Xenopus tropicalis: one gene and its partners. The protein of the gene in region 2 purifies or fractionates together with the protein of the main gene of each other region. This does not show direct contact. Links are inferred from orthologs where the notes say so. Each region holds a gene or a part of one and is shown on either strand. Other genes may lie near its edges. The genes, in order: mfn1, marchf5, mfn2 and dnm1l.

Region 1 (4,952 bases), on a different chromosome or scaffold from region 2:
AAACTGTAGGAGGAGTAGCGTTTAGAAAATGGGGGGCGCTGAGAAGAAGAAGCGGAAGAATAAGCTGAAGTGGAAGAACAGTCTGTGGGGTTTTCAACCCAACACAATTCGAAGTCTGCAAGCTGCACAACAAATATAAAAAGGGGGGTTTATGACAGTATATAATGCCTGTCAGTTCATACCTTTACATTTTCATCTAACATTTTTATTACCATGAATCAATGGTCACTCTGTTGTACTAATACACCCACTAATGCCTACACATAACTTTACTCCCACGTTCTTAGTCCAATGACTTGAGCTGCATCCTTTGCAAAGGCTATACATTCTAAGCCATTTTTACTCATGCTTTGTACAATAAGATTCTAGAAAATTTTAGGAGGACCGTGTTGGCAGCTTATCGCCTTTTGTTACAATAGTAAGCGGTACGGGCAGAAAAGAACTACACAACTACTTCCCACGGAATGGTTCTGAGCTACGCCGTCTCCGCTCGCCCCTCCCCCAATGCGCTACGTAACGTGTCACTGCGCAGGACGGGATCTCGCGTGATGAGAGTGGCGGTGCGGGGATTGTGTGTAGGACAGGAGGCAAGGAATTTGCACTTAGCTGCTGTGCGGGAGGTGTAAGTAGGGCATAGGGATGCGGGACTGCGGGCTGCGATAGGCCAATCGTGAGCGTCCTGCAGAAAGCCCGATTTTTGGGCAGTATGCATTTACTTGGATTAGTCGCCCCCCCCCCCCCCCCTGTCATTTTGTAGCATGTTATACACTCACTGACGTGTTACTGTGTATATAATGTATATGTACGTATGTGTGTCTGTATATATAATATGTATTTACCCATTTGAGTCTACTTGTAAATGAACTCCTTGCAGTACAGTCCAAGCACACATATGTTCGGAACTTTATTATACACGCTCACCTTTGGTGTCCTTCATACTAGGATACTCACTTTCTATAGAAATTAGCAACAAGTGCATTCAGGTTAAAACTTGTGTTTTTTAAATATTAATTAAATATACATTTTACATATTAATTGTAGCTTTGGTGACATTTTCTAATGCTTATAATGTGGACTATGTTATTATTTATATAAGGTATTTTAATCATTTTTATTTCAAAAGATCCATATAACTCTTTGTTTAACATGTGTGAATTTTGTGATTTGAACAAAAAAAAAAAAGAATTGCCCCCCACGGGACCCCATTTATTAACCCACTGGTCGCCTGGGCCCTTGGGCTGTGTGCCATTCCCCAATGGAAAAAAAAAAAGACTTGCAGATCCATGACTTGTCATTAAGCCCTCCGCAACCTGTGAATTGCACTTTTACCTCTCTTAGGGCCTGCTATGGGATCCCTGATTGCAGCACCTCGTTCCCCATGATGTTGGCCCTGTATAATATAGTACTTTAGTGGTTTATTTTATCTACATTTTCTTTCATTTATTTTATATATATTCCATATCCTGCAGCCCTTTTGTAGAGATAAGATAAACAGAGATAAGATGTTCTCACCAGAATGATTATCTGATCTAAAAGCAGTTATTAGTGCAAGTTCTTGCTTTTTTTTTTTTTTCTTATAATAGACGTGTGGTCATCTTTCATTTTTATTGCTTCTTTGTACTGTCTGGATTGGCAATTTTCTTGGCACTTAAAACTGCCATTTTCTTTTCAAGCAGATAAGTCATGGAAGAAGCAAGTGTCTCTCCCCTAAAGCACTTTGTGCTAGCCAAGAAGAGCATTACGTCTATCTTTGACCAGTTGGTGGAGTATGTCAGTGAAGGCGTAACCTTTGTAGAAGGTATCTTTCATTTTCTGTAATATAGCATTGCACATTTTAAGACTAACCGTGGGATGTAGTAACAGGTGCAATTTTGTTCAAGGTCTAATAACCCACAGCAACTATTAAGCACTTACTAGTTTACAGCAATTAAAATAGTGAATAGTTGAGAAAATAGCTGAGAAACTACTATGAATCAGTAGATATAGGGCAAGTTCTGCATATTTTACTACATTCTCCATGTAGTGTAACTGTTTTCTGATAAATAATAATCGAATTGAAAGAGCTTCTCCAGAGAAATCTTGCATTGAAATCCATTTTTCAAAAACACAGATTTTTCATTTTTAAATTTCACATGGGGTGCCATGTCCTTCATTTTCCAGTCACACTTTACTGCTGAGCTGCAAGTTGGAGTGATATCACCCCCCTCCCGGCAGCCGATCAGCAGAACAATGGAAAGGTAGCAGGATAGCAGCTCCCAGTAGATATCAGAATAGCACTCAATAGTAAGAAATCCAAGTCAGGCTTGGGACTCCTCCAGTTACACTGCAGTAGGAAAAACACTAGGTTATCTGAAAGCAGTACTAATGTAGCGCTGGCTCCTCCTGAAATTTTAGACTCAGGCACAATGCATGAGATGGCACCGACACACCAATATTACAGCAAAAAAAATTAATTTGTTGGTTCAAGAATAACATTTAAAATGATAGAATACACTATTTGCTATGTAAACAGTGTAATTTAGAAATAAAAAGTATACCATGAAAATCATGACAGTATCCCTTTAAAGATTTAGAGTAAAAGTTTTGATCACTGCTGCTGTCTTGTGAAAACAATGGCTGTCAAATTGCCTCTGACCACCACAGTGTAAGACTCGTTCTTCACTGAAGGGCAACAGTGATCCAAATGCCTGTGTCCCATTAAACTAAAGCATGGAAGTCTTCCTGTGCTATATGATTTATGGCTGAGATCTGAGATTTTTTTTATGTCTATAACAGTAAGAGATTTTATCTAAAACCTATTATTTACACATCAACACAATGATAATATATTCTGCCTGTTTTTATTAAATAAAAAAGATCAATATTTTTGGTTAATCTTCTCACAATTTATTATAAAGCGCTTCCCATCTGCCTGCAGGATTTTTCGTGTGTGTGCTCCTTATCACAGGTATGGGACCTGTTATCCAAAATGCTCTGGACCTGGGGTTTTCTGGATAAGCAATCTTTCCGTAATTTGGATCTCCATACTAAGGGGCACATTTACTAATCCACGAACGTCCAAAAAGTGTCCAAATTCCTTTTTTTTCGTAATGATCGGTATTTTGCAACGTTTTCGAGCGCTCAATACGAAAGTCGCGACAATTCACGAAAGTCATAATGGCTATGAAAAAGTCGCGACAATTCACGAAATTTGTAATGGCAATGAAAAAGTCGCGACAATTCACGAAATTTGTAATGGCAATGAAAAAGTCGCGACAATTCACGAAAGGCATAATGGCTATGAAAAGTCACGACAATTCGCGAAAGTCGTAACGGCTACGAAAAAGTCGCAAAAAATACAAAAAGTCGCAAAATGTTCATTTTCCAATCCGAATTTTTCTTATTCAGATTCGTGGATTAGTAAATCAGCCCCTAAGTGTCTACTTGAAAAACATTTTAATAATTAATAAACGCAATATGATTGTTTTGCCCCCAATAAGGATTCATTTTATTTTAGCTAGGATTAAGTACAAGGTTATGTTTAATTACAGAGAAAAAAAAGGAATGCTTTTTACAAATATACATTATTTGATTATGATAGAGTCTATGGGAGATGTCCTTCCCATAACCTCAATACCGGGTTTCCGGATAACAGATCCTATACCTGTGCATTACATTCCAGGGCAACAAACTGCACTTAGACATAGTAGTGGAAGAGCAGCAGATGGAAGACTGTGCTTGCTTAAACTTTAACCATTATGTTCCTTTATTTCGGCATAGAAACATTCCAGAACCCAGAGCTAAAGAATGTGAGTACAGAGGATGATGTTAATAAGGTTAAGGCATCTAAGACTAAACTAGCTGGCATTGGGGAGGTTCTCGCCCGCAGGAATATGAAGGTGGCTTTTTTTGGCAGGTAAGAGCTTTCATCACAATTTAAGGATATGTGATTTGTGATAACTGCATTTTAAGCTGCAAACAAACATATAAAATATATAATAAAGTATACATTTTATGCTTGAACCCTCTGGTATTTATATTACAAGAAGTCAGTATAGTAATTCAAACATTATATATATATGGAAACATGATTCAGAAATGAGAAATATCTGCTAACAGTAAGGGCAATGGCACATGAATCATCCACTACTTTGCAATACATATGCTCTTCCACCACCGATTCACATTACTGCCAGCTTTCTTCTGTTGATCAGATGGCAAGAAGTTTGACCCACTGACTAATTGGATTTACTCTGAATACCAGTATAGAGATAATTCATATGTATTTGTCTTATACATTGTTATTCTTAAGTTTTGAACTTTAAATGTTGAATAATTAACTCTTCCTGAGTTTTATGTTCATATTGCATGCTAACCATAATTTGAATGAACCGTGATGTTTTTATCCATCCCTGCAGAACAAGTAGTGGCAAGAGCACAGTGATAAACTCTATGCTGTGGGACAAAGTGCTGCCCAGTGGTATTGGACACACTACCAACTGCTTCCTTAGCGTGGAAGGTACAGAAGGAGACAAGGCCTATCTGATGACAGAGGGTTCAGAGGAAAAGAAAAGTGTAAAGGTATAACTGCAGATGTATATTACAAACATTCACTGTATGATATCTCCCACCGTGCTGTGTGTCTAACCAATATATTTACATTTACTATTCATTACACTTATTTGTAATACAGAATGTGCCTCCTCAGGCCTCACAACTATTGATGAAATGCAACTTGCTTTGTTTTTTTCTTTTTGCAGACTGTTAATCAGCTTGCACATGCTCTGCACATGGACAAAGACTTGGGAGCTGGCTGTCTTGTTCATGTGTTCTGGCCAAAAGCAAAATGTGCTCTGCTTCGAGATGACTTAGTCCTTGTAGACAGGTAAAATAATCTCTCCATGCTTCCCCATGTAGATGCTGAGATGGCTTTGTAACACACACTAGACTTTCACCTCCTATGGTTCTTATAC
Region 2 (4,714 bases):
ATCATTTTCGCCGTTTAGCAAATCTTTTACAAATTTTTCGTGAAACAGGACAGATTCGCTCATCACTGCTTATAAGTTACAATATGGTGTACGTTACTTTTTATAATAGACAAGTGCTTTGGAATAGTGTAGGCAAAAAAATATATATGGATATAAACAACATACCCCCCAACTGTCACGCTTTTTCGCGGGACAGTCCCAGTTTTTACAGTGCGTCCCGCTGTCCCGGATAGTTCCCTGAATGTCTCGCATTACGGAAATGCAGAACATTCATTAAACTATCCAGGCCAGCGGGATGCGCTGGCTGCAGCCGAGCCGCTCCGACTCTGTCTCTTCTTGCGGCTCCTGCTTCTTATTCGGCTCCTCGTATGGCGGCGACAGCTCCTTTTATAAGGTTGCGCCCGTGTGTACGTGTGTACGCACGGGGCGCAACCTTATAAAAGGTCCTGTCACCGCCGTACGAGGAGCCGAATAAGGAGCAGGAGCCACAAGAAGTCTATGGGGGGCACTATGTATGGGGGGAATTTTCTATTGGAGGTACTCTCTATGGGGGCAATTGGGGGGCACTGTGTATGGGGGGTACTGTGTTTGGGGGGTACTGTGTATGGGGGCACTTTCTATGGGGGCATTGTGTATGGAGGGTACTTTCTATGGGGGCACTGTGTATGGGGGTACTGTGTATGGGGGCACTTTCTATGGGGGCATTGTGTATGGAGGGTACTTTCTATGGGGGCACTGTGTATGGGGGCTACTGTCTGTGGGGCAATTGAGGGCATGGTCTATGGGGTCAATTGGGGGCACTGTCTATGGGGGGTACTGTCTATGGGGGCAAATGGGGCACTGTCTATGGGGGTGCTGTCTATTGGGCCATCGGGGGCACTATTTTAAAAATGGGGTGTGGCACTTGGGGTGTGGCCACAAAGTGGGCGTGGTCAAAATGTTGCCGTGCTGCGCGCGCAAAGTCTTTTTGTCCCTCTTTTCATTTTTCAAATGTTGGGAGGTATGAAACAATATTAAGGTTAAATATTGAAGGCATGGTGCAAAGCATAAACAATCCACACAGTCATAAAAACACAGGTAGATCAGGCACTAGAAATCCCTATAGTTTATACCACAAAATTGTTACTATGTTAATTAAAGCGCACTTCGCCGCACAAGTTCTACGCATATGTATATAAAAAGCCAAATCGGAACAGATAAAAACTTCCACAGGCCAATAAGATACAGAGTCAAATTCTAATTTACGGTAACGATGCACTTTAGCGAGATACCGACGTTACCATGGCAACAGACACCTTCCCCAGCGCTTCTCACTTCCTGCTTCCGGCGCCGCTCGGTTGCCGCATGAAGTACGACTGACGTTTCACGTAAGAACTCTGGTTCCGTAACAACAAACACCGAGTTAGAGGCTGCTGGCAATAGGAAGGGGAATTTGCTGAAAGGACTTTGAAACGGACGGATGGCGGTTCGGTGAGACTGTTCCTGCATGTCGGACTTGGACGTGTTGTCTCCTCATACTCTTTATCGCTTGATACTCGAGTAAATACGGCTGCGGGGCAAAGGGCAACATGTCGGAGGCGAACAGCGTGTCTGTACAGCAGATGCTTGACAGGTGAGTGCGTTTGTCGCGTCCTAATGACAAGGCGTAGGGTTGGGGGATGCCTTCTGTGTCGCTGCGTCTTCTATGGGCTGCTGTGCTTATAGCTAGAATTCTACGTACATAATATAGTGCATATCTATAATAACTAGCTAGAATAGATATTTCTTGTTCCTCATGCTTCTTTATAGTAGAAGTAAGAATTTAAAGGGGAAATAAACCCTAAAAATTGTCATTCATAGCAACTTTCCAAAATGCATTCTTTGCATATTTGCAGTCATTTTTGTATATAAGAGTTACTGAAAGCAGCCTTTGTTACTTTTTGTCCTTTGTGTGTATGTATGTATAATGATAAGACAAAACAGAGGCGCCAAATGGATAAAATTAGCTAAAAACACTTAAAAACCCAATGGGTAATTCAGAGGAGGTAGTAATGAACTTACCTCCTCCAGGCAGACACCAACAAAAGTGGTAATTTTCAATAATAGTTTATTCACAACAATGTACGTATGTATAACTTTACTCTGTACAATCTTACAATATACACAATTACACACGGAGGACAAGTGTTATAATAAATACTTAAATACACAGAGATGAAGTGCCATGTGGTATGAGACTCAGTAGGAAGGAGGTCCCTGCCCTGTAGAGCTTACAATCTTTTCCCAGGCTTTTCTGACTTTGATACAGTTTAGCAGAAGCCAGCTGATATAATAGACCTGTAAAAGAGCATGGCAAGCAAGGCTGACTTCTGCTACATTGTTTCAAGAACCAGATGCTCAGAGTGAGAAAAATCACTGTTTTTCAGTGACAGTTAATAAATTCTGATTCTCTATCAACCTAAATGGTTGCCTTAAAGGCGCAATCATGTTATGTTACAAAGGAAAGGTTTTCATTTTGCGGGTTCTGTAGAGTGCTTTAAATCGCAATTAACCACTGTTTCTAGTTATTTGCTATGAAAATGGGTGCCAAGTAGACCAGTTTAAATAGCTGCCCATAGCTACACAACAGCTTATTTATATAAACTGTAGTTGCACTTCTAAAGGTAGCCATACACGCACCGATAATATCGTACGAAACCTCGTTTCGTACGATATTCGGTGTGTGTATGGTATGTCAGCGAGTCGACCGATATCGCAGGAAGCTGCTGATATCGGCCGACTCGCCGATCGGACCAGTTGGAAAATTTTGATCGGGCGCCATAGAAGGCGCCTGGTCAAAATCTCCCTTCAGCGCTGAATCGGCAGAAGGAGGTAGAAATCCTATTGTTTCTACCTCCTTACCTGCCGATTCAGCCCTGAATGGTGTGTGGCACATCTGACGATGTTTCATGCGACCGATCGATGGTCGCACAAAACATCGTCAGATCGCCACGTGTATGGCCAGCATAAGGGTGAAGACACATGGAGCTACTAGTACCGGCTACCTGTCATAGCTACTAAAATAGACAATGCTGATCAGTTACTGATAATTGTTTCTGTGTGTTCTAGCAGAGGCAGTTCTCAGTATTGTCTATGGCAGTGTTCAGTACCCGTGAAAAAGTAACTGCTACTAGTGGCTCTATGTGTCTTCATCCTAAAGCAAACACCCAACTTTTACTATTGAAGGTAACAATAAATGATATTTAACAGCATACAGAACTCTTTCATTTTTGGTGTTATTGGTTCTTTAATACTCTAGGGCGGAACAACTGGCAGCCCATGATCTGGGTGGGTGTGTTGTAAATCTACCCTTATATTGATCTCCCTTGGCTACTTTTCACTGCACTGTCTTGCTTACCCTTTCTGCCTCTCCTTGCCTTATCATGCTGCTTTCCTGCTTCTCCAAACAAGAATGCACAGCTTTTGCAACGCCTGATACTCTGCATGAGTTGATTGACCTCACGCTGAAGGGAGGGGGAGTGAGCCATGATGTCATTTATGAACTTGATAAGATAAACATATCATGAGAGAAAAAAAAAATGCTGGCAGAGCAAGGTATTAAAACCTCTGCTGTAGTTGTGATTATTTAAAGTATGTATTATTATCATCACCCTCCTCAATATCATAATTATTATCCTGTGTTTGTAAAATGTCAGCATGGGCATGTAAGTTGAGGAAATGCATGTTGTCATGAGGAAGAGTCAAGCTAATGACCTTGAAGGGTCAAAAAGGAATTTTAAAGTAAAACCTGGCAGAAACCATGTTTGCACAAGAGAATGAGAGATAATTTCTCAGATAGTTGTCACAAAAATACCTCTGTGCCAGAATCCGGTACAGTCTATTTTGAATCTCAGCCACCTCTGCCCTACACACTCTACTGGTACAGTGACTATGTTAGTGACAAGTATTCTGCTGCACATTGTATTGTATTGGACTTGGCACAGGCATAATATCCTTGTTTAATAATATAGCTTGCCAGCATAAACAGTTCATGCAATTAACAACTGAGGTGTAAGCAGTGTCAGAGTCAGCAGCTTGTAAGACGATATGTTCCCTATTGTTAGGGTAAAAGAAAAAGTTTTTGGTGCCATTGGATCTGCTATCATACCATCTCTCTAAAAGAAACTAAACTAAAACTATTTTTCCTTAAGGGTATAAACCCACGGAGTGGTTGTGTTGCCCACGATAGATCTCTACTGTCGTGGGCGACAAGCCGCTACGAAAAGGCTTTCCATCGCCAATTCTAGGAGTTGCCAGTAGAAAGCCCTTCGCATCGCTTCATTTTCCGAAGTCGCACAAAGTAGCCTGCAGGAGGAAACTTCTCACAACTTTGGATTGGGGTGGGGGGCAAAATCTTAAACACCCCTCAGTGAGTGTAATGGCTTACCTTATACCCCGGGCTGCTCCTGTTAAGATATAATTAATCCTTACTGAAGGCAAACAATCCTATTGGGTTTATTGTTTAAATTATTTTTTAGTAGACTTAAGTTATGGAGTTACAAATTATCATTCAAATTATGCATTCTGCATAACAGGTCCCACGCCTGTGTTAAACTGAAGCTTGTTTAATTTTGGTCATGGCTTTCCTGTAAATATGTTTTGAAAAAGTGGTTTTTCAAAACATATTTTCAGGTTAACTTTTAGTATGTTAATGATCGACCTATTAACAACTTTTTAATTAGTGTTCATTGTTGTT
Region 3 (4,935 bases), about 40 Mb from region 2:
ATAGAAAGAGCAGCTAATTTGCTCCATCCAGGAAAAGAGTAAAGGAGTAGTCTCCTAACAGGCTTACTTGTCTTAGATTAGGGACACAGAAGTGCTAGGGACATAGGCCAGCGATTAACCCTGCCAAGGGAAGGGATTAACCGGTGAGCTGCCTCCTACCACTCTGTTGGCTGTCGTATCCTACCCATACTTGTTTATGAGAAGGGATAAACGGAAGGCACCATACTTCATCTGCTTGATCTGCTTTTACGTCATTTGTGCTATTGAATACCTGTTACCTCATCTGATATCCCTGCATTTAGAATTCGGTCTTGGACAAATAAACAGTTCCTTTGTTTTGCAAGAGCTCATGGCGTCCATTATCTATTCTTAAATATGCATTTACATCTAATACACTATACAGTGGCAGGTATAGTTCAACAACATCCTCCATTAGTTTTCTCCCACTTAGCGGAGGCCCATCCTGATGTATGAGAGTCGCATGTAACCAATGCTCTACTCCTAGCCTGGATTTTTCCCCCGGGTGAATGTAGGGACCCATAGGGTTAAGCTCCCTATGGCTTTACACCCTATCTCTTCACATCTTTATTATTATTGGGCAGAAGCCCTTGTACTCAGTTACAGTTGTAAAGCTATCCCTTATAGGTTTAGCCTGGTTGTACACGCCCCCTGCAGACTGATAAAGTCTGGCAGGAGGTTGTGACTTTCTCTTTGGCTGCCGGTCTGCTACCTGATGCACCGCTCCATTGAGCCTGGGTGCAGACACAGGCCCCAGTAGCCATTTCATCCAAATTAAAGTCGGGGACAGGGCCCCGTGAACGAGGTACAGTAAGAACAGGTTACTTTATATTATAGGACTCTCTAGGAGAGTTACACAGTTAGGATTTATATAGAAAGAGCAGCTCATTTGCTCCATCCAGGAGAAAAAGTAAAGGAGTATTCTCCTAACAGGCTTACTTGCCTTAGTTAGGGACACAGAAGTACTAGGGACATAGGCCAGCAATTAACCCTGCCCTCTACCAAGAGAAGGGATTAACCGGTGAGCTGCCTCCTACCACTCTGTTGGCAATACAACTGGTTTTTATGCAACCAACACTTGCCCAAAAGCCAGGAATTAAAAAATAACTACCTGCTTTGAGGCCACTGGGAGCAACATCCAAGGGTTGGAGAGCAACATGTTGCTCACGAGCCACTGGTTGGGGATCACTGCACTACACATTGGCAGTGGGAGGTATAGTTCAACAACATCCTCCATTAGTTTTCTCCCACTTAGCGGAAGCCCATGCTGATGTATGAGAGTCGCATGTAACCAATGCTCTACTCATAGCCTGGTTTTGGCAATATAGCCCAAAATAGTTTTACATTTGGTTACAGGAGTCTTGACAAACAATAGGAATTCTGGGAATGAATTCCAGACTCTTAAAAAAAATCCCATTTACATGGGTTTATCCTGTAGGCTACAGCTCACCCACTGGGTTTGAAGCTGAAGCCAGTACAATAGCTGATCAGATTCTTAAAAAAAATTCCATTTACATGGGTTTATCCTATAGGCTACAGCTCACCCACTGGGTCTTGAGGCAACTGTCCTCTGTGAAACATACTTCATAGGCAAAAAGCAAGTCCCCCTCTTGTTTTATAACATTTAAATTCGAGTGGTCTACGGTCACATTGTTATTTTTCTAGATTTGTTATTTTTTTAGAGTAGTAGCCCACTACTTTTTTATTTAGAAAAAAGGACGGGATGTACCAAATCTCGCCTTCTGTATTATATTCAATCCTACAAAATGTTACCAAGCGCTAATAACCACAGCAAATCTTTACAGCCATCACCTCTGTTTTCTACTTCTTATATCGATTCAATCACCTAACACCCACTACCCCCACGCTATTACTGCCTTTATAATTTCCTTATACCGCACGGTGACATTTCTTGCTACCAGTGAACTACAAATCCCAGCATGCCCAAAACCAATCGGGATTGTGCCGCGCCTCCTTTTTGACCTTTGCTTGTAGGGGCGGAGTGTGTGACGTCACTTGCTGGGTTCCCTGTTCCTTATGGTGTGTGCCAATCGGGGATGGAGGGTGTGGCTTAGCGCACCGCTGGCAGGAGGTTAGTGCAGACCCCTTCCTGTCCTGTACCCTTCACTGAAGGCCTGGATGCTGCTAAGGAAATAGCGCAGCGGTACAGCATGTGAGTGAGCACGGACCTTAGAACATCGCATGTGCTGTGTGCAAAGCTGCCTGCTCCTAGTAGCGTCCCATCCTGCGATTGTTTTCTTTGCTTGAGCAGCCCCAGTCCGGCTGAATAGCATGCGGGCCTAGTAACTGCTTTCCTTGCACTACAAGTAAGACATTTATGATCCTATTGCGCTGTGCTTGTGATGGCAGAAGGGCACTCAGGGTGATAGTGGTTATTGGTTCCCTTCTGTGTGTGTTGTACCTCAAATGCTGCTGAGCAGAACTGTCTCCACACTCCAAATGTAACAACATTAGGAGTGTGGAGACAGTTCTGCTCACATACCACTATTAGGTGCTTTATGAGTGAATACTTATTTGTCAACCTGCTCAGTACCTGATCATCTGATAGGTACTGTTTTAAATCTTATATCATACTTTCAGTGCAGAGCTGTCAAATAAAACATAGCCTGAGGCCAGTGAAGACTGATAGACATTATGGAAAATACTAATATTGCTGCTTTGTGTTGTAGCAGAAAGTCATAGTGACCAATTGAAAATTTGCTGTATTTATTCCAGATGTGCTGGACCAGTCAAAGTTTAATGCTCATCGGTTGCTATGAGCTACTAGACTGGAGTAAAGCTGCACCAGTGTCTTCAACCTGATGATCTCAAACCACCTTGGGGTGTATTTATTAACATTGGAGACATCTGTCACTGGTGATGTAGCCAATAGCACCCAATCAGCAATTAGATTTGAACAGTCATCTACAAGTTAGCAAACAAAAGCAAACATCTGAGTGGTTGTTATGGGCAAAATCACCAGCGATGTTTGTCTCCACTGTTAATGAATACATCTAAGATGTATTTATTAGTGTGGTACTGTCTTGTAATTAGGGAGTTGTTGTAACTGCAGTTTCAGGCCAACGTTCCCACCCTGCAGTGTAATAATTAGTATTCACAATTATATAATGATCACATGTGATACGTAGCCTCTGGTGCACACTGGGTGGGCTTTAAGGTATGGGCTACATGAGGAAGCAGCCAGATCATAATGACACACAAAATTGTGGGCCTATGGTTGTTCAACTACAACTCCTTATTTCTCTAGGGTAATGGCTGGAGGATACTAAGCACTGAAAGCTTATATAATCTTGTCTTAGCCAAAATCTTGACATCTGCTTTGGAAATTACTAGTATTCTTCCATGGGGCAGTGAAGATGTGGGAAATGCTTTACTTTTTTGTGAATTATTTGCCGCTGTCTTCTAATCTTTGCAGTTTTTAAATGGTTGGCACTGATCCCAGTAGCCGAAAAACTTTCTTGAAGCTACAGGTTTTTTTGTTATTGTTACTTTTTGTAACTTTCTTTTCTATTCTTTTCCACTCCCTGGTTGCTAAAGTAAATTGGACCCTAGCAACCAAATAACTGATGAAACTTTACACTGGAGAGCTCCTGAACTGAAAACAAAATAACTAAAAAACTACAAATAAAAAATGAAGACCAACTACAATTTGTTTTAGAATAGTGCTCTAATCTAACTAAAAGTTAACTCAAAGGATAACAACCCCTTTAAGCTACGTCCACACACACACACACACACACAAACCGAACCATACCCAAATGCTATATAAAGTGAAAGATTTGATGCACATTTATCACGCACATGTTAGATTGTGTGCGCTTCATGTGCTTCTTCACTATTTCTATCCATGTGCCACCAATTTCCAGCAGCACAGAGGGTTTGGGTTCGGTTAGGTATCGGTTAGGCCAAATCTGTTATGGGGGATTTGTATAAATACAAATATAGATGCCCACTTTGGTTTTAAGTGAAAATTACAATAATCTTGTAGGCAAGAATGAATAATATATGTGTCAGCTTTTACTCAGGACTCAAAATTATGATTGTTTATCCCGTTTATTGGAGCTTCCCATAAATATGCTACGGTTACTGCCATGTTTCAAATGCCCTATAGGGTTATAAGGTCTTAAAGTGGACCAAATGCAGCTTAAGTGGTTACACAGGTTTTGCAAGCAAAATAAAATCAAGTTTAGTGGTGTTGAAGCCGGTCTGTCCTGTGTAGCTGTCTATGATGCTGATACTACTTACTAAATTACTACTTTTCTAAATTATCACTACAGTGTAGCTGGTTTAAATATACACCAGTGGAGAAAATCCATTCTGCTGCCTTCCACACCTTGAATGTGTGCTCACCGACCGGCATAGAATCAGCCTGTTGCCATTAGCCTAAGATATCCACACATCTACCAAAAGAATCAACCTTCATCATCTTCACTTAACCCCTTGTTATTTTGTATTAAAGGACATGTAAACCCCCCACAAAAAAATAATTAATGAACAGAATGAATAATAAGGCTGCAGCATCCCCTTAATCACTTAGGATTCCTTCTCCTCCTCAAAACCACTTTGCCCCCTCCCTTAGGCTAATGCCACACGGAGTGTATTCTCGGCAAGCTGTAAACTGATATATGCCAAAAATGTGAAGTCTCTCATTTTTTGGCAGATAACGGCTACATGTGCCTACACACGAGAGTATTTCATTTCTTTGTGCAGGCATAAGGTAAGCCCATTTTACAGTAGCGGGGTATATACTTGGCAAGCGTTTTTAGGCTTGTGGCATTAGCCATTGGAATTTACTTTGGCTGTTGGCTACTGAGCATCCTCAACTCAGGTTATGAAACACACCCTCAAGTCTAGCAGCCAATGAAGAAATGGTATTGCTGGTTTCCATAGAAACTT
Region 4 (4,163 bases), on a different chromosome or scaffold from region 2:
ACCATATGTTAATACAATATAAACAAGAGAAAGGGGAATGTTCTGGGCCAAACACAATAAAAGCTTTTGTATACCCCATTACCCTTGGTACTTGTCCCCTAAGGGGAAAAAACGCTTTTATTGGACCCTTACCCATATGGTAAATAATACAGAATAATACAAGAGAGGAATGTTCTGGCAAAACAAAATTTAAGCTTTCTTTTGCCAGCCCCTGGGGGATTTGGGGGCGCTTTCATTTCCCTTTTTTTCATCTCCCAAATGGGTGGAGAAAGCGATCCAGGGGCCCGGGGGTAAAATTGGGGATGGTTAGGAACAGTTCTCGTTAGCCAGAACTCCCTTAAAGTCCCCCACCAGGCTGCTTGGGCAGGGCATTTGAAATTTCCAAACAAGTCGAGCCATTTAATTGAAGACTTAAATCCAGCAAAGAGTCCATTGAATTTTTTTTACATAAACGTTACTCCACTAAATGCTTTGGGGAGGGGGGGGGATTTTCTGTATTTTCGACATTAACAAAGCTTGAATTAGAGTGGGAAATTTCATGTTTTTTCCTGAACTGAAGGAAATGCTGGGGAGCCCTGTAAAAGTTTTTCCCAAAACTTTGAGGACTACTGTGCCCTGGTTTTTTTCCAATGCCTGTTTGGGGTTGAAATGTTTATTTTCCTGTTCGCCTAACAGCTTGTTGCAAATACAGCAAGGCCTTAATGTGGGGCGCTGTTCTTTAAAAGCAACTTTAATATTGGAACAGCTGCAAATGTAACTGTAAATGTAACTGTAAAAAAAAATGGCGGCCAAAAAAAAAAATTTGTGGGGTTCCCTCTGGGGCAAAAAAGGGATTTAGTTGGGGTTTTCCTCAATCCCGTCCCCCTTTAAAAAATAAGCAAGTGGTTATACCTTAGGGGGCTTTTTGTTTCCCTGCTGAAAATTTGTGCTTAGTTAACGGGGGGAATCCCTATGTGCAATAGGTTTTTATGGTATTTCCTTCTGTACAGGCCTATGGGCCAAACTTAATGGGGGCTTGTTTCCTGCCTGAATTGTGGCTTTAGTACAAAGGGGAATCCCTATGTTGCCCTAGTTTTTAATGGTAAATCTTTTCTCTGTACGGCTTAATGGGCAAACTTTAAAAAGGGGGGCCTGTTTTTTTCCCTGCTTTGAAAAATTGGTGCGCTTAGGGTACAGGGGCAAAAATACCCTTAATGTGCCATAAGTTTTTTATGGTAAATTCTCTGCTGACAGGCCCCCTATCGGCAAACTTAGGGGGGGCTTGTTCCTGCCTTGGAATTTGTGCTTTAAGTACCAGGGGAAAAAAATCCAACTTTGTGCCATCAGTTTTTTTTTTATGGTAAAATCTCTCTGTAACAAGGCCTAATGGGTCAAACCTTAAGGGGGCCCTTGTTTTTTTTTCCTGCCTGAATTTGTGCTTTTAAGTACGCAGGGAAATCCCCTATGGGTGCCAAATAGAATTTTAATTGGTAAATCCTTTTCCTCTTGTACAGGCCTTTAAATTGGCAAACTTAGGGGGCTGTTTTTTTTTTTTCCTGCCTGAAAATTGTGCCTTAAGTAACAAGGGGGGAAAAAATCCCTTATGTGCCATTAGAAATTTTTTTAAATGGTTATCTCTCTGTACAGGCTAATGGGCCCCAAAAACTTAGGGGGCGGCTTTGTTCCTGCCTGCTTTTGAAATTGTTGCTTTAGTTAAACAGGGGAAATCCCTATGGTGCCCATAGGGTTTTCCTATTTTCTGTTTTACTTTTAACCTGATGAATTTCTTTTCGTCCCCTTAGAGCAAGCGAAAAGAACGTTTCGGTGGGCTTTGGAGAGTTTTGGGTGGGGGCCGGGAACCCTCCTGGGCCTTTTCCCCAGGGGTTACGGGAAAAAAAATAAAGTTCACCAAGAAAGAGCCCCTAATCCCCTGCAATGGTTTCCACGTGTCCTCCAGACGACCGGGCAAAGACCCCTTTCCGGAGATGACAGAAACGGTAAAAACGATAATCTGCCCGGGGTTTTTTTTTCCCCCCTGTAAACAGCTTGGTGGTACAGACACAATTCAACCTGATTGGCTTTAATGGCTGAAATCATTGTCGGGGGCAGGGTTGGTGCTGGGTAAGGAGGGGATCAGCACTTGTCTCTACTGAGATAATAGAGCGACGTGCAGGCAACGTGATTGGCCCAGAGGCTCATAAAATCAATCGGTTGGATCAAAGGTAGAAGAGAGAGAGGCACCGGCGCTTCCGCCCACTGGAATATTTATCATTCACGTTGGAGCCAATAACTTCAGGCAGCCAACCAATAAGATGCCAGAGAGATGCCCAGCCCCCGGAGTGGGCGTTGCCCACAGAATGACACCTTGGGTGCCATTTCCTTTAAGGGCATTGGATTTGGGCCAGTGCTCCGGGTTCCTCTGCAACCGGCCAAGTGTTGGGCGGCCAAAGAGTCGATGGTCTTGTCCGCTAGCCTTCTGCCAGTCCCCCACCTCTATGGTACTGCCCAGCCCTGTGCAGAAGGAAAAGGGGAGCACTGGATGGAATATATTTGGGGGTTCATTGTGTGTTTACCCCTTCTTCTAGCACATCTGCCCCCTTGGATTGCCCATAGCAACCATTTAGATCTTTGCTTTTGTTTTCTAACTTCCGTTCACAGGATCTGAGTGGGGGGAGAACAGCAGAGGGCCCTGCGGGGATTGGGTCTGGGCCGCTGGGGCCCACAGGGTTTTTCCCCCAGTGCCCCAGTCCGACCCTGACCGTTCAACTCTAACTGCTGATTGGTTGCTACGGGCAACATCACCGGTGATTTTGGCTTACACACTTTCATAATTTTTCCCTACGACTATGCCCATCATTACCTGGCAGGGTGGGATCTCTGTAGGGAAAGTGGGGGGGGGGGGGTATCATTGTGTGTTTACCCCTTCGTCTAGCACATCTGCCCCTGTGGATGGGGGGCTGCAAAGCACAAGGTGGAAGACCCTTTCCCTTAATAACGTCTCCTTCTCTCTGTTGTGTTTTTCTCTTTGATTCCAGACCCCAACGCCTGGAAAATTCCGAAGCACTTTTCCAAAGGTCTACAGTTTCCACTGTCCCCCCCCCCCCCCCGAACTTTATTTCCTACCTGCATGTGCCTACCTGCCCCCGCGGGGCTTGTGTGTAGAACTGTAACCCCCGCACAACCGCAGCACCCAGTCACCGGCGACCCTCCAGCACTCGGATACTATCAGTAATGGCCGGGGGTCCCTTACAGAACAGCAAGGGGAGGGGTTAAAACCAGACGTGACCCCCTGCGGCCCTGGGTATGCTGGGAATTTTACCAACATCCTTGTGGCCCCGGGTTGCAGGGAGTTGTAACAGTACTTGCCATTACTGATAATGTCCGCCCATTGGTAAAAGCAGTGTTTTTTTTCTACATATAAACTGTACTTTCATTTTTTTTTTTTAGGTTTAGCCCCCTGTGCTTTATTCTACCACCCCCTATTTATTTATTTGTGTTCCCTCATCTTGCATGCATCATTTATTTGCCCTCTGTGGGGTATAAAGCAACATGGCTACCCAGTGATCAGCCAGTCAGGTATTTACTAGGTTTGGCCTTAGTCTGGGTGAGGCCGGGGAATTATAACACAATGGGAGAGCTATGGGGGATATTGGGAAAGCCAGTATGTAAGACAATGGATGTGCCAGTTACACCTGTATGGAGGCTACAGCAAGCAAGGCAAGAGTGTAATGGTTGCCTCAGCAAATCACAGAGTCCTAGTAAGTCATCTAGTTAGGATCACTACTGGGTAGCACCCTTCTTCAAACTCGATCATATCAGCTATTGCCTCAGCTCCTGAGCTACACCCCCAAAGGCCAGTGGTTCTGATTAGTAGCTGGGGCCTCCTAGGTTAGTCATTACTGAAGCGGACAGCGACACTAATCGTTGGTTTAGAGATAGACGTCGTTCTGGCATTATATCGACGTTTCCTTACAGAGATCAAGTGCTGTGCAGTGGGCGCCTAAAGGAATGCCTCCTATGCAGATCACATTCCTCGACTTCCAAGATAGAGTGAGAAACAGAACCAGTCATTATGAGGATTGCCTCTCACTTGATACCTGCGTAGGCCAGCGCTTAGAATACGGTTCGTACGGCCTTAGGCAACAGTCAAACACATTAAGGGCTGCGTGGCGACAGTCTGTGTC

Evidence for each region.
Region 1: the proteins of marchf5 (region 2) and mfn1 purify together in Homo sapiens (affinity purification with western blotting; 4 studies listed by BioGRID, with this or other methods). This does not show direct contact. The link is inferred for Xenopus tropicalis from reciprocal best matches to the Homo sapiens genes MARCHF5 and MFN1.
Region 3: the proteins of marchf5 (region 2) and mfn2 purify together in Homo sapiens (affinity purification with mass spectrometry; 5 studies listed by BioGRID and IntAct, counting the BioPlex papers as one, with this or other methods). This does not show direct contact. The link is inferred for Xenopus tropicalis from reciprocal best matches to the Homo sapiens genes MARCHF5 and MFN2.
Region 4: the proteins of marchf5 (region 2) and dnm1l purify together in Homo sapiens (affinity purification with western blotting, with the first as the bait; 3 studies listed by BioGRID). This does not show direct contact. The link is inferred for Xenopus tropicalis from reciprocal best matches to the Homo sapiens genes MARCHF5 and DNM1L.

What each region holds. Positions count from the first base shown.
Region 1 is NC_030681.2:108,878,765-108,883,716, reverse strand, and holds the start of mfn1 (mitofusin-1), read left to right. Parts: upstream 1-1,676; 5' UTR 1,677-1,683; coding exon 1,684-1,798; intron 1,799-3,759; coding exon 3,760-3,895; intron 3,896-4,397; coding exon 4,398-4,560; intron 4,561-4,739; coding exon 4,740-4,864; intron 4,865-4,952. UniProt on the Homo sapiens protein: Mitochondrial outer membrane GTPase that mediates mitochondrial clustering and fusion. Membrane clustering requires GTPase activity. It may involve a major rearrangement of the coiled coil domains.
Region 2 is NC_030683.2:25,747,654-25,752,367, reverse strand, and holds the start of marchf5 (E3 ubiquitin-protein ligase MARCH5), read left to right. Parts: upstream 1-1,401; 5' UTR 1,402-1,568; coding exon 1,569-1,612; intron 1,613-4,714. UniProt on the Homo sapiens protein: Mitochondrial E3 ubiquitin-protein ligase that plays a crucial role in the control of mitochondrial morphology by acting as a positive regulator of mitochondrial fission and as an important regulator of immune response.
Region 3 is NC_030683.2:65,992,941-65,997,875, forward strand, and holds the start of mfn2 (mitofusin-2), read left to right. Parts: upstream 1-2,025; 5' UTR 2,026-2,110; exon of another isoform or gene 2,111-2,345; intron 2,346-4,935. UniProt on the Homo sapiens protein: Mitochondrial outer membrane GTPase that mediates mitochondrial clustering and fusion. Mitochondria are highly dynamic organelles, and their morphology is determined by the equilibrium between mitochondrial fusion and fission events.
Region 4 is NC_030679.2:4,795,286-4,799,448, reverse strand, and holds part of dnm1l (dynamin-1-like protein), read left to right. Parts: intron 1-1,781; coding exon 1,782-1,976; intron 1,977-2,365; coding exon 2,366-2,477; intron 2,478-2,972; coding exon 2,973-3,053; intron 3,054-4,163. UniProt on the Homo sapiens protein: Functions in mitochondrial and peroxisomal division.